3 linked regions of the Neurospora crassa OR74A genome follow. The protein of the gene in region 2 purifies or fractionates together with the protein of the main gene of each other region. This does not show direct contact. Links are inferred from orthologs where the notes say so. Each region holds a gene or a part of one and is shown on either strand. Other genes may lie near its edges. The genes, in order: acp-1, NCU04636 and hsp78.

Region 1 (3,789 bases), on a different chromosome or scaffold from region 2:
GAAGTGGATGGAGTCGATACTATTGAGATTCCCAGGAGTGAATGAACGAATCAATGCCTCCTAAACAAAGAGAGAGAAAAAAAGAATTAAAAAAAAAATTTGTAAAATATATAAAAAATAAAAGATAGAAAGAAAACAAGACGAAGAGGAAAATAAAGGAAAGAATATCGGTTGGTACGGAGCCCAGTTTTAGCTTGAGGTAGGTACCGAACAATTCTGGCTTTACGTGATCTTGAGGGCAAGTTTCTGAGGTGGTGGTGAATACATGCATACCTTAAGGTAGGTATCTTCATGCCGCGATCTAAATATTGAAGTGGGACATTTAAAGGACCAGACATACTCCGTCGTAGTATCAAGGATCTCTCGTCGGTCACATCTTCTTCACTTGGTCACGCAACAAAGTTGACATTTTCTCTTGAGAAATACCACGTATCTATTCAGTTTAAAGGTAGATACATCTAGATACCCAGTCAGATGGTTTCTCCTGGTTCGCCAACTTCGCTCGATTCAGGTACTGGTCTGTGTTTGTTGAACTGAGCAGTGATCAGACAGGAAGACATATAAACCCAGGCCTTCAAGTTGAGTGCGCTCCAGTCATGATTGTTCTCTTTACCTGAAAGGGGGGGGGGGGGGGTATGTAAGTAGTGTGTAGGTACGGATATAGGCGACAAACAAAACACAACGCAACAGCACAAGAGTTGACACCAACGCTATATTGAGCCTGCCACAATACCACTTTAGTGACCACCAAACATTGCAACGTGTCGCCGCGTTGACCAACCCAGACTAACCACTCTGACAATGATAACAACATCAAGACCAAGTCCGACCTGCCCACAATTCACATCTAGCCCGTACCCATCACGATGCTCCATTCCATTCGTCATCTCTTCTTTCATTCAGGTTCTAAGTTTTCGTATGGTACACAGATCGAATCGAATCCCAAACAATGACAAAGATATGTTTCGAATCGACCTAGTTAAGGATAAAGATAGAGGTGAAAAGGTAAGGTGGGTAGGTAGGGAGAAGAAGTATGCTTTATATTTGCGCAAGTAGTGGGGTTTCTAAAACGCTCGAACAAGGAACGAAACAGAGGACTTTTTTTAGTTGGCATCGGGCTGGCTGAGGATGTACTCGACGGCCTTGTCGACCGAGTGGATCTGGTCGGCGTCCTTGTCGGGGATCTCGATGGAGAACTCCTGTTGCGGGTAGGTTTGTTAGCATCGTGTTTGGCGTCCATGTGCTATGACTGTGTTTGGGTTGAAGGGTGATTGTGATAAGAGGCTGAGCTTGGGCCGAAAAGGGAATATGACAAGGGCCCGGAATAAAAAGAAAAAAAAAGGGAGCAACATACCTCCTCAATAGCCATAACAACCTCAACGGTGTCCAAGCTGTCAAGACCGAGGTCGTTGGCGAAGTGGGCGGTCTCGGTGATCTGTGATGCGCAAACTTGTGTCAGAATCTCTCATCCCTGTATCTTTGGTCTCGTTCCATTGCATCTATTCTTGCGGTTTGCCCGTCTCGTCTCTCCTTCCAGACTGTCAGGCCGGGAGCACCAGGGCACTGGGATTGACCCATCATGACCAAAAATCACATCATAGTTCGTCTCCGTGACGGTGAGGAGGAAATGTTGGTGTTTGCGTCTGTACTTACGTTCTTGGGGTCGTTGACCTGGAAAGTAGATGTTAGCTTGGGCCTGGAAAAAGGTTGCGAACACGGGACTGTTGTGGCTTCTGAAGAAGAGGCTGGAGGAGAGGGGAGATCCAGCCGAGGTAAGGAAGAAAGAAGAGCAAGAGACAAGAAGTTGACCAGCAAGATAGCAAGAGGAGGAGGGCAAAAAAGCGAGGGGAGAGCATCATCATCGGAGCAGAACCAGCCCAGCCGGCAGGGCAGACCCATTCGAAGAGCTCCCAAGTTCCCGATAAATCCGACCATGGCGCAGCGTGTGGAGCACGCAGTGCTCTTCATCGTATTCCATCTCGTTTTGTCGCGTCTGCGCAGCCTTGATATGCTCTTCGCATCTTTTTGGTCTTCCTCCGTTTGTGTTCTGTTGTCCGGCTGGTTTGCTTGCGATGATGATGCTCCCCCGCACGCTCTCTCCTCTTGTCTTCGCGTAGCGTATGTCCCTAGACCACTCGTATCCCTCTGCCTCTTCACACCTCTTTCTTATCTCCTTCCTTTCTTCTGCTCCTCCTCCTCATCCTCCTGCTCGAAGTTTGTATGCATGTCGTGTCGGGTAGGTCTCTTGTGATGTAAAACGCACCTTGTCAAATCCACTCAACACCTGCGCAATCCTGCTAAAGACCTCATCCTTCTTGAGATGACCACCGGCGCTGTAAAACCGGACAGCCTGGAAGGCAGCGACCTTGGGGACGGCCTGGACAAAAGCAGGACGGGCAACACCAGCGCGGACGGCGGAGGCGACGGCGGGACGGGCCACGCGGGCGGCAGTGAGGGCGGCGGTGCGGAACATTTTTTGTTTTGTTTGGGTGGGCTGTCGCGGAAAGTGTCAATTGCGCGGGTCGGTCGGGTGTTTGAGGGTCGGTGGTGGTGACAGGAAAGGCTGTGGCCGAAAATGAGTGTGACGCTACTACTCGGTGGTTCTCGGACGAGGTTGTTGCGGGTTTCTCTGGCTGGAAGCGGATTTCTGGGCGGTGGTTGGCTGGAATCAGCGATGATGATGATAAATTTCTCGCCTACTGCCTATGGTACGCCGGGGGCGCGGGAAGCGGGTGCGGGCAACTGCGGGCGGCGGCGGCCAACGAAGCTAACAAACCCGCCTCTGACTCTGGAGCTTCAGCGTGTGGAGGTACCTTGGTACGTACAACCTCGATGCTCCCCCGCAACTGCAGCCATGGAAGCTTCAGCTCGTTCTGCTACTCGTCAGCCGAGTCACGTGCAGGTCGCTCAGGTACCGTCTTGTACACTGCGGAGAAATGTGTCAAGCAGATACTCCACTAACACCCCACGGGCAGGATCACTCCACTCGTCTGTTAGACGGGTAATCCCGGTTGATGGATACGATGGGATGGAGTTCATCACGATACAGCTTGTATCTTACAGATGGTACCGTACACTAATTGTACATTCAGCCTTTCAAGCATCTTTAGGTTTCTTGATGCGTCCCTTTGGCCGCATATAGGATCTTCCCTGGCGAGATGACTTTCAAAAAGACAAGAAGTTGGATGAGGGACGCAATTCACAAATGTATCTACAGCCTTCTTTTGCCTGTCCGCCTGCCTGCCTGCCTGCCTTCTATAACACAATGGTGCGTCCTGTTGATACCGCAACCCGTCCGAAACTGCTGGTTCCGAAACTCTAGCATAGCAACAACGAAAAAAAGAATCTCTGTCTTCATTGTCCGTCCTGTTATCCGGTCTTCAAGCCACAACCCCTTTATCTGTAAGGTGAATCGGCGCGAATAGCAGCCGCAAGCTCAGGCTCCCACTTGTCTCCGTTAGAGAGTAGCTTTTCTGTATCTGTTGTCAGCACATGTCATATTTTCCTGGCCCCCCGACAGCAAGAACCTATCTCCAGCCAGCACCAGGTTATCACGGCATCCCCCAGAAAAGAACTCACCCTTGTTATACAACAACTCCTCCCTCGTCTCCGTTGCGTACTCCGCATTGGGACTCTCCACAATCGCATCCACGGGACAGCTCTCCTGGCAGAATCCGCAGTAAATGCACTTGGTCATGTCGATATCGTAGCGGGTCGTCCTTCTGCTTCCATCGGCACGCTCTTCAGCTTCGATGGTGATGGCCTGAGCAGGGCAGACGGCCTCGCAGA
Region 2 (3,727 bases):
TTCTTGTTTGTTCCAGTTCGTAGCTTCCAGCAACTTACTAGTCATTGCATGTGGCAGCAATGTCCATTGGATGGCCTTACCATAGTGTGTGCCTGTGAAGATGTCGTTTGTAGTCTCACAAAGCACACCAGAGACTATGATGTCATAGGCGAGAGGCTGCCAATAGGGGTTCGTTCGTCAGTTCATCCCACCATCTCAAACGAAACTGTGACATCATAAGTCGTCGCAGCCACCAACGAGCCGAGCTAAGCCCCTCAACACCAAGGCGGTTTTCAGGTGGAACCCTTGACCCTTAGTTCTGAGAACGTACACTACTATGTACACACTCACTCATTGTCTGGCCTTCGACCTCGGTAACTGGCCACATTGTATACGCACGCCCTTTGTAGAGTTCTTCAGCAGAACCATCGGGTTGGGGGGTTCAGAACAGTCACAAAATGGACACGATCTACACACAGCCAAAGTCAAATGGAAAAAAAGACGTTTATCAGCCACAGTGCTGGGGAATTATGTGTATCCATTATATGAATGATGAATTGTTCTTCTGACACCTCCGAGCGCCGCCTCCCAGCCCTATGGTATCATTCTCTTGCTCATCAAAACAAAGGTCATCCGCAAATATCGCTTACATACATGATAGTATACAATGGGTCATGTTTTGCCCCTTGCTTCCGTCCTTGCGGGAGCCTCGGCAATTCGTAAAGTTGGCCGTATAAACAACCCGAGCGGCCTGTAGTGTTTGTGAAAAGGCAGCGCAGCGGGAGAAATAAAAATGCAATAGAAACTCCGCCCAGTTTATAAACCGTGTTAAAATACCGCACATCAACCACATCATGTCACCTCTCAGTGCTGACTCCACTGGATCGTGTTCAGGTCGATACCCTCCTGGACGAGCTCCCACAGAGGAGAAAGCTCACGGAGGAAGCCCACACGCTCCGTTACGGCCTTGAGCACGTAGTCGATCTCCTGCTCGGTAGTGAACCGGCCGATACCGAAACGGATACTGGAGTGGGCGCTCTCATCACTGTTACCCAAAGCACGGAGAACATAACTAGGCTCCAGAGAAGCCGAAGTGCAAGCACTGCCAGAAGAAAGTGCAATATCCTTCAAGGCCATCAAGAGGGACTCACCCTCGACATAGGCGAAAGAAACGTTCACGCAGCCGGGGTAGAAGTGGTTGGGATCACCGTTCTGGCTGGTGTGCTCCATGGAGAGCAGACCGTTGAGAAGACGGTCGGAAAGGTGCTTGATGCGCTTGGAGTCGTACTGTTGTAACAGTTAGCGCCCATCCTTGAACGAGAGATGCATTAAATGTGGGATATGGAAGAATCATGATCAGAGAAGTTGCTGTCTATCAACAAGGAGTCCTTGTCACGGGACTTCAGAAAGCCATGCATGTGTAAAGCGACTCATCATAAAAGGGGCAAAGGAAGACAAAAGAGACTGTAACATACCGGCATTTCTTCCTTGGCGATGCGGCACGCCTCTCCGAAGCCGACAACGAGCGGAGGAGCGAGCGTGCCGCTGCGAAGACCTCTCTCCTGACCACCACCGCTGATAATGGGGTCCAGTCTGACTCTTGGCCGACGACGGACGTAGCATGCACCAATGCCCTTGGGGCCGTAAATCTTGTGGGAGGAGATGGACATCAAGTCAATGTTCATGGCGTTAACGTCAACGGGGATCTTGCCAACAGCCTGGGCAGCGTCGGTGTGGAAGAAGATCTTCTTGGACCGGCAAAGCTTGCCGATTTCCTCGAGGGGTTGGATGACACCAATTTCGTTGTTGACAGCCATGATACTGACGATGGCGGTGTCGGGACGGATGGCAGCCTCCAGCTCCGCCATGTCGATCAGGCCGCTGCTCTTCACTGGGAGATAGGTCACTTCGAAACCCTCGTCCTGGAGATGCCTGCAGCTGTCGAGGACACACTTGTGTTCTGTCTGGCTGGTGATGATGTGCTTCTTCTTGCCGGACCGGCCAAAGAACCTAGCGACGCCCTTGATACTCATGTTGTTGCTTTCGGTGGCACCGCTGGTGAAGATGATTTCCTTGGGGTCAGCGCCAATCAGATCAGCAATGTGTTTCCTCGCCTCTTCAACGGCCTTGTCAGTCTCCCAGCCGTAGGCATGTGTCCTCGAGTGGGGGTTGCCATAGACGTTGGTGAAGTAGGGCATCATGGCATCGAGCACTCTGGGGTCGATGGGGGTTGTGGCCTGCATATCCAGGTAGATGGGACGCTGTCCCTCATCCATCACGGTAGCATTGCTGAGAACATCTAGTTGAGTCAGCAACGAGGACGACTGCGCAATATGTCTCCGAAGAGGTGGGAGGTGATGATGATGCTTACCAGCCATGGGGCTGACGTGTTGGCTCGAGCCATTTTGCGCGCTTATAGTGAGGCCCTGCTTCTCCATCTCCCTGTGATCCAGCTTGATAGCATGCTCGGCCTGCACGTCGGCGTTGTTCCTCTTGGTCTCGGTCACATAGCTCCTGGAAGCAGAAGCAGTCTTGACAGCAGCCGCAGTAGTCGCCCGCGACAGCACACGCGCGCTGCGGAGAGGAGCGGCCGCGGCCAAGCGCGATGCCTGTCGCAAGACGGACGGCGCAATGGTGGACATGGTAAAAGGAAGAAGAAAGAAGGAGAGGAAAAGAGAATATGGTGGTGAGGGTGATGGCGGATGAGGGAGAAAAAGTTCGTTTTGTAACCAAACCTACAAAAACGGATGGAGGCAGCGGGCGGGGCGGCTCAAAACACACTCAGAAATTCAGATGGAGCTGCCGCCTCCCGCTCTTCGGCGGTCGGAGTGGAATTTCCGCCATACAGAAAAGAACAAATCGAAACAAACGGCATCCGCACGCGGACTTGGCCTCGGAGGGGTCGGTGATAAAGGAATGTGCCAATGAGGGGCGACAACCAACAAGGTTTGGCACTTTGATTGGTCATTCTGCCATCGGATGGCCCCACCTGTTTCTTTCTCGGACATCGGACAAGCGCGTATGTACGTACGGCGAAAATGACGCTGCTCCAAAATGTTAGAGAATGGGCCGCCGGGCATGACGGAAACTGAACGCTCGATGTGCACCGCGGCGACTGACTTGACAAATACAGTGCGGAATGTCCACTTGTGAAACGGACTCCGCGGACGCATCTGATCCATCATTGCACAGAAAGGAAGAGCACTGACCCGGGGCAGGCATCCATCTGTTCTCTCAATCGGCATGTCCACTGGGATGAAAGCTACACTACAGCGGGCCCCAGACCCAGTCGGTCTACCCCGTCGTTCCAATTCGTTCCTTTCCGGGGTCTCATCGACCAAAAGCAGAACAACCGATGACGGTACCTATTTACCTCCTCGGTAGTATTCTGTTTCCATTCGCATTGGATGTCTGCGTTGGACTATAACTTGAACCATCAGTGACATGCCATATAACCGCCGACAACCTACTTGAATTCCATTTACACTGCTAAACTATTTAGTAGCATCTTACCTCTAGGACAGCTACCTCTAGCTACTTTACCTCCTACCGTTGAAGACCGAATCCTCCCCGAGGAAGTTTGTCGGACCTCGAACGGAACTGCTGACAAGGGTCCGACCGACGGGATTCAAGAACAAACCGAAATCACAAGACGCCTAGACAAAAAGACTTTTCACACTACATCTTGGAACGAGGTCGCTGTGTGCGGCGTGTCCAACATTCAGCAAATAGCAGCGCCACGCAAACC
Region 3 (3,600 bases), on a different chromosome or scaffold from region 2:
GTAACATAAGAGGAGAACCAGTAACAAATGAGAGATACAATAAAGATACAACTGCTCGCCATCAACCTGGGATCAGATTAGCAGCAGCGGGCCACTTCATGCCTCAAGAGCAGTCTAAGCCTCAGCCTCAGCCTCCTCGGCAGCCGGAGGCTGCTCCTGCTGCTCCGCGTAGACATTCAGTCCGCTCCTGTCCTCCTTGATTTCCACCACCGCCTTATCGCCCGACTTGATCTGTCCACGAATGATCTTATCCGCAAGCCCATTTCCAATCTCGGTGGTGATGAGCCTGTTGAGCGGCCTCGCGCCAAACTTGGGATCATATCCCCTCTCAGCCAGCCACTGGCGGACCTCTTCGGGAACGTCGAGGGTGATGCGGCGATCGTTGAGTCGCTCCTGGAGCTCCTTCAGGCGGATGTCAACAATGTCCCTGAGCGCCTCCATAGCGAGACGCTTGAAGATGATAAAGGAGTCGATGCGGTTAAGGAACTCGGGCGGGTACTGGGATGCGACGACGTCCATGACGGCCTGCTTGACGTCTGGGTGGATGTCACCGTCTTCCGTCTCCTTGTAGGGGACCATGGGGTTGGCTCCAACCAGGATGTCGGCACCGAGGTTGGAGGTGAGCACGATGATGGTGTTCTTGAAGTCAACCTTGTGGCCCTGGGCGTCGGTCAGGTAGCCCTCATCGAGGACCTGAAGGAGCAGGGCCGAGATGTCTCTGTGCGCCTTTTCGAACTCGTCGAGAAGGATGACGGCGTAGGGCTTGCGGCGGACGGCCTCGGTCAGCTGGCCGGCGTCTTCGTAGCCGACGTAGCCGGAGGGAGCACCGATCAGGCGCGAGATGGTGTGCTTTTCTTGGAACTCGCTCATGTCAAAGCGAACAACGGCGGTCTCGGTCGAGAAGAGGAAGCCTGCGAGCTTCTTGCACAGCTCTGTCTTGCCGACGCCGGTGGGTCCGAGGAAGAAAAAGGAGGCCAGTGGGCGGTTCTCGCCGCTCAAGCCGGCTCTTTGCATTCGCACTGCGTCGGCAACCGCCTTCAGGGCCTCGTCTTGACCGCGGACAGACTCGCGGAGGATGTCTTCCATGTGAATCAGTCTCTCCGTGTGGCCGCTGGACAACTTGGAGATGGGAATGCCAGTGATCCTGGAGACGACGTTGGCAATGTCGTCAGCGGTGACCGAGTCATGGATGAGAGAGAGATCACGGGTAGGTCTTTCGCCGTCCTTGGGTAGCTTCTTTTCCAGGTTTGGAATGACGCCAAATCTCAATTCCGAGGCCCTGGCAAAGTTTCCGGTTCGCTGTGCTTGCTCCAACTCAATGCGGGCTCTGTCGAGCTCTGCCTGGGTTTGCTTGATGCTGTCGATTTCGGCCTTTTCCTTCAGCCACCTTTCCGTCAGTACGGCGACTTCATCTTGATACTTCTTCAGGTCAGCCTCGAGCTTCTCGCGGCGCTCGACGCTGGCAACGTCCTTCTCCTTTCGTAAACTTTCCAGCTCAATCTGAATGGTCATGATCTTCTGGTCCAAGCGCTGGATATCGTCGGGCTTGCTTTCTTGCTGTAGGCGAAGCGAGCTGGCGGCTTCGTCCATCAAGTCGATGGCCTTATCGGGAAGGAAACGGTCGGTGATGTAACGGTTGGAATAGGTAGCGGCAGCAACCAGTGCTCCGTCAGTGATACGGACGCCATGGTGAACTTCATACTTCTCCTTGATACCGCGCAGAATACTAATGGTATCCTCCACTGTCGGCTCGCTGACGATGATGGGCTGGAACCGGCGAGCGAGAGCAACATCCTTCTCGATCTGACGGTATTCAGTCATGGTGGTTGCACCACAGCACTGAAGCTCACCTCTAGAAAGAGCTGGCTTCAAGAGGTTCGACGCATCAATGGAGCCTTCGGCCTTTCCGAGGCCAAGGAGAGTATGGAGCTCATCGATGAACAGGATAACCTCTCCGTTGGCTTCTTGCACTTCGCCCAGGACCTTCTTCAGCCGCTCCTCAAAATCACCCCTAAACTTGGCTCCTGCAATAAGAGATCCGAGATCGAGACTGATGACTCTCCTGTTCTTGATACTTTCAGGCACCGCGCCCTTCACAATCTCCAGCGCAAGGCCTTCAAGAATGGCTGTCTTGCCGACACCGGCGCATCCAATGAGCACCGGGTTGTTCTTCGTTCTCCGTGACAGGATTTGGATGGTTCTCTGGATTTCCGCCGCTCTGCCGATGACCGGATCGAGCTTTCCCTCTCGTGCTTTTGCTGTTAAGTCGATACCGTATTGTTCCAATGCTGGTTTCTCGTCCTCACCCCCGAGGTTCATGCGATGGGTACCGCCTGGGGGGCGTGGTCTGCCGTTGGCATACGATCGAGTCGCTATTGTGGGAAGAAGACGAAGAGAGCTGGCTAGATGAGTGGCATTGAGTGCCGGTACGGTTACGCCCAGCGCCGGTGCCCGGGGAAACTGGCGGGTGGTTCGCGAGAGAGAGGCCCTCGACGCCTCACTGATGCGCCGAGTGGCAGTTGATAGCAATTGGCGCCTTGTTTGCATTTTGAGACTTGAGTACGTGTTTTATTTCAGGGGAACGACTAGTCTAAAATCCAACTTGAATCATTATAGAGTACTTTGAAACGAAGGGTATGTCTCTGGTTTATATGGCCTGACGTAGTGCCACTGACCGTTGACATGGATGGAGGTCGAAAGCTCTCGCAACTTCCAGTGGCACTGACGCCGTGAAGCTGGGGGAGAGCTTAGGTACCTACCTACATACAGGGCAGTACTTAGCTCCTTATCTTATCGGAGCTTCCATGTAGGTCCCGTCTTCACGATGGAGTCTTCGGTCAGTTCGGTGGGTTCCTGTGCCTGGTCTGTGCACTGTCTGTATTTAATGGCCAGGAAATTTTTCGCTGTGTGAAATTCTCCCCGTTTTGGTTCTTCGTGTGCAACCGCCGCGTTTGAACAGCGCCATTGTGGGAGACATCAGAGAGAATGGCTCCAAATTGCTAAAAGCTGGCAATGCCAGAAGTACGCCGCGTCGGTGTCTGTCATTAGTGTAAGTTCTAGCACCTTGTTTGATATTCTCCTTCCCTACTCCTCCGTTACCGGTACTCCCACGCCCATCCCGTGATGATCGAATTGGTCCGTGTTACCAAGCAGACTTAAGACCTCTGCAGATGACGACGAAACCAGCATTTATGCGACTCTGACCCTTTTGGCATCTCATTCAACTTGGAATATTGCTTCTTTTTCGCAGCTCTTGAGCTAACTCATGAATCGTAGTTGTTGTATCTTTGCGCATGCCGAGTGCTTGTCCAATGGAGCAGCCCATCTGAAGTTGGAATTTGGCAACCCTACGGAGCCTAGTGTAGTCTTTCCTCGTCACCATTACCGATTGTCCGGTGCGTTATGGGCGGGTGGGAGTATCAAGGTGGTCCGAGAAGGTTGCTGGTTTCAACAGTTGATAGATTATATCGTGTTTGCTTAGCAATAGTTTATTGAATATTTCTTAACTGTTCAAGGGCTTAATGCTAGTAACTTTTGGACGTAGGGGCATGTAGAATGTGTGCACCATGTGCGAAGGCACTCCGATTCTTCACATGTATC

Evidence for each region.
Region 1: the proteins of NCU04636 (region 2) and acp-1 purify together in Saccharomyces cerevisiae (affinity purification with mass spectrometry; 4 studies listed by BioGRID, with this or other methods). This does not show direct contact. The link is inferred for Neurospora crassa OR74A from reciprocal best matches to the Saccharomyces cerevisiae genes NFS1 and ACP1.
Region 3: the proteins of NCU04636 (region 2) and hsp78 purify together in Saccharomyces cerevisiae (affinity purification with mass spectrometry; 3 studies listed by BioGRID). This does not show direct contact. The link is inferred for Neurospora crassa OR74A from reciprocal best matches to the Saccharomyces cerevisiae genes NFS1 and HSP78.

What each region holds. Positions count from the first base shown.
Region 1 is NC_026506.1:4,099,045-4,102,833, reverse strand, and holds acp-1 (acp-1), read right to left. Parts: upstream 2,810-3,789; 5' UTR 2,474-2,809; coding exon 2,264-2,473; intron 1,672-2,263; coding exon 1,654-1,671; intron 1,436-1,653; coding exon 1,355-1,435; intron 1,200-1,354; coding exon 1,104-1,199; 3' UTR 640-1,103; downstream 1-639. Other genes in the region: nuo21.3c (NADH-quinone oxidoreductase chain I), read right to left, coding at 3,397-3,473, 3,580-3,789. UniProt on the Saccharomyces cerevisiae protein: Carrier of the growing fatty acid chain in fatty acid biosynthesis. May be involved in the synthesis of very-long-chain fatty acids.
Region 2 is NC_026505.1:1,377,842-1,381,568, reverse strand, and holds NCU04636 (cysteine desulfurase), read right to left. Parts: upstream 2,833-3,727; 5' UTR 2,622-2,832; coding exon 2,351-2,621; intron 2,279-2,350; coding exon 1,455-2,278; intron 1,267-1,454; coding exon 844-1,266; 3' UTR 482-843; downstream 1-481. UniProt on the Saccharomyces cerevisiae protein: Catalyzes the removal of elemental sulfur from cysteine to produce alanine. It supplies the inorganic sulfur for iron-sulfur (Fe-S) clusters. Plays a role in both tRNA-processing and mitochondrial metabolism.
Region 3 is NC_026501.1:2,990,298-2,993,897, forward strand, and holds the start of hsp78 (heat shock protein 78), read right to left. Parts: upstream 2,722-3,600; 5' UTR 2,548-2,721; coding exon 115-2,547; 3' UTR 1-114. UniProt on the Saccharomyces cerevisiae protein: Required, in concert with mitochondrial Hsp70 (SSC1), for the dissociation, resolubilization and refolding of aggregates of damaged proteins in the mitochondrial matrix after heat stress.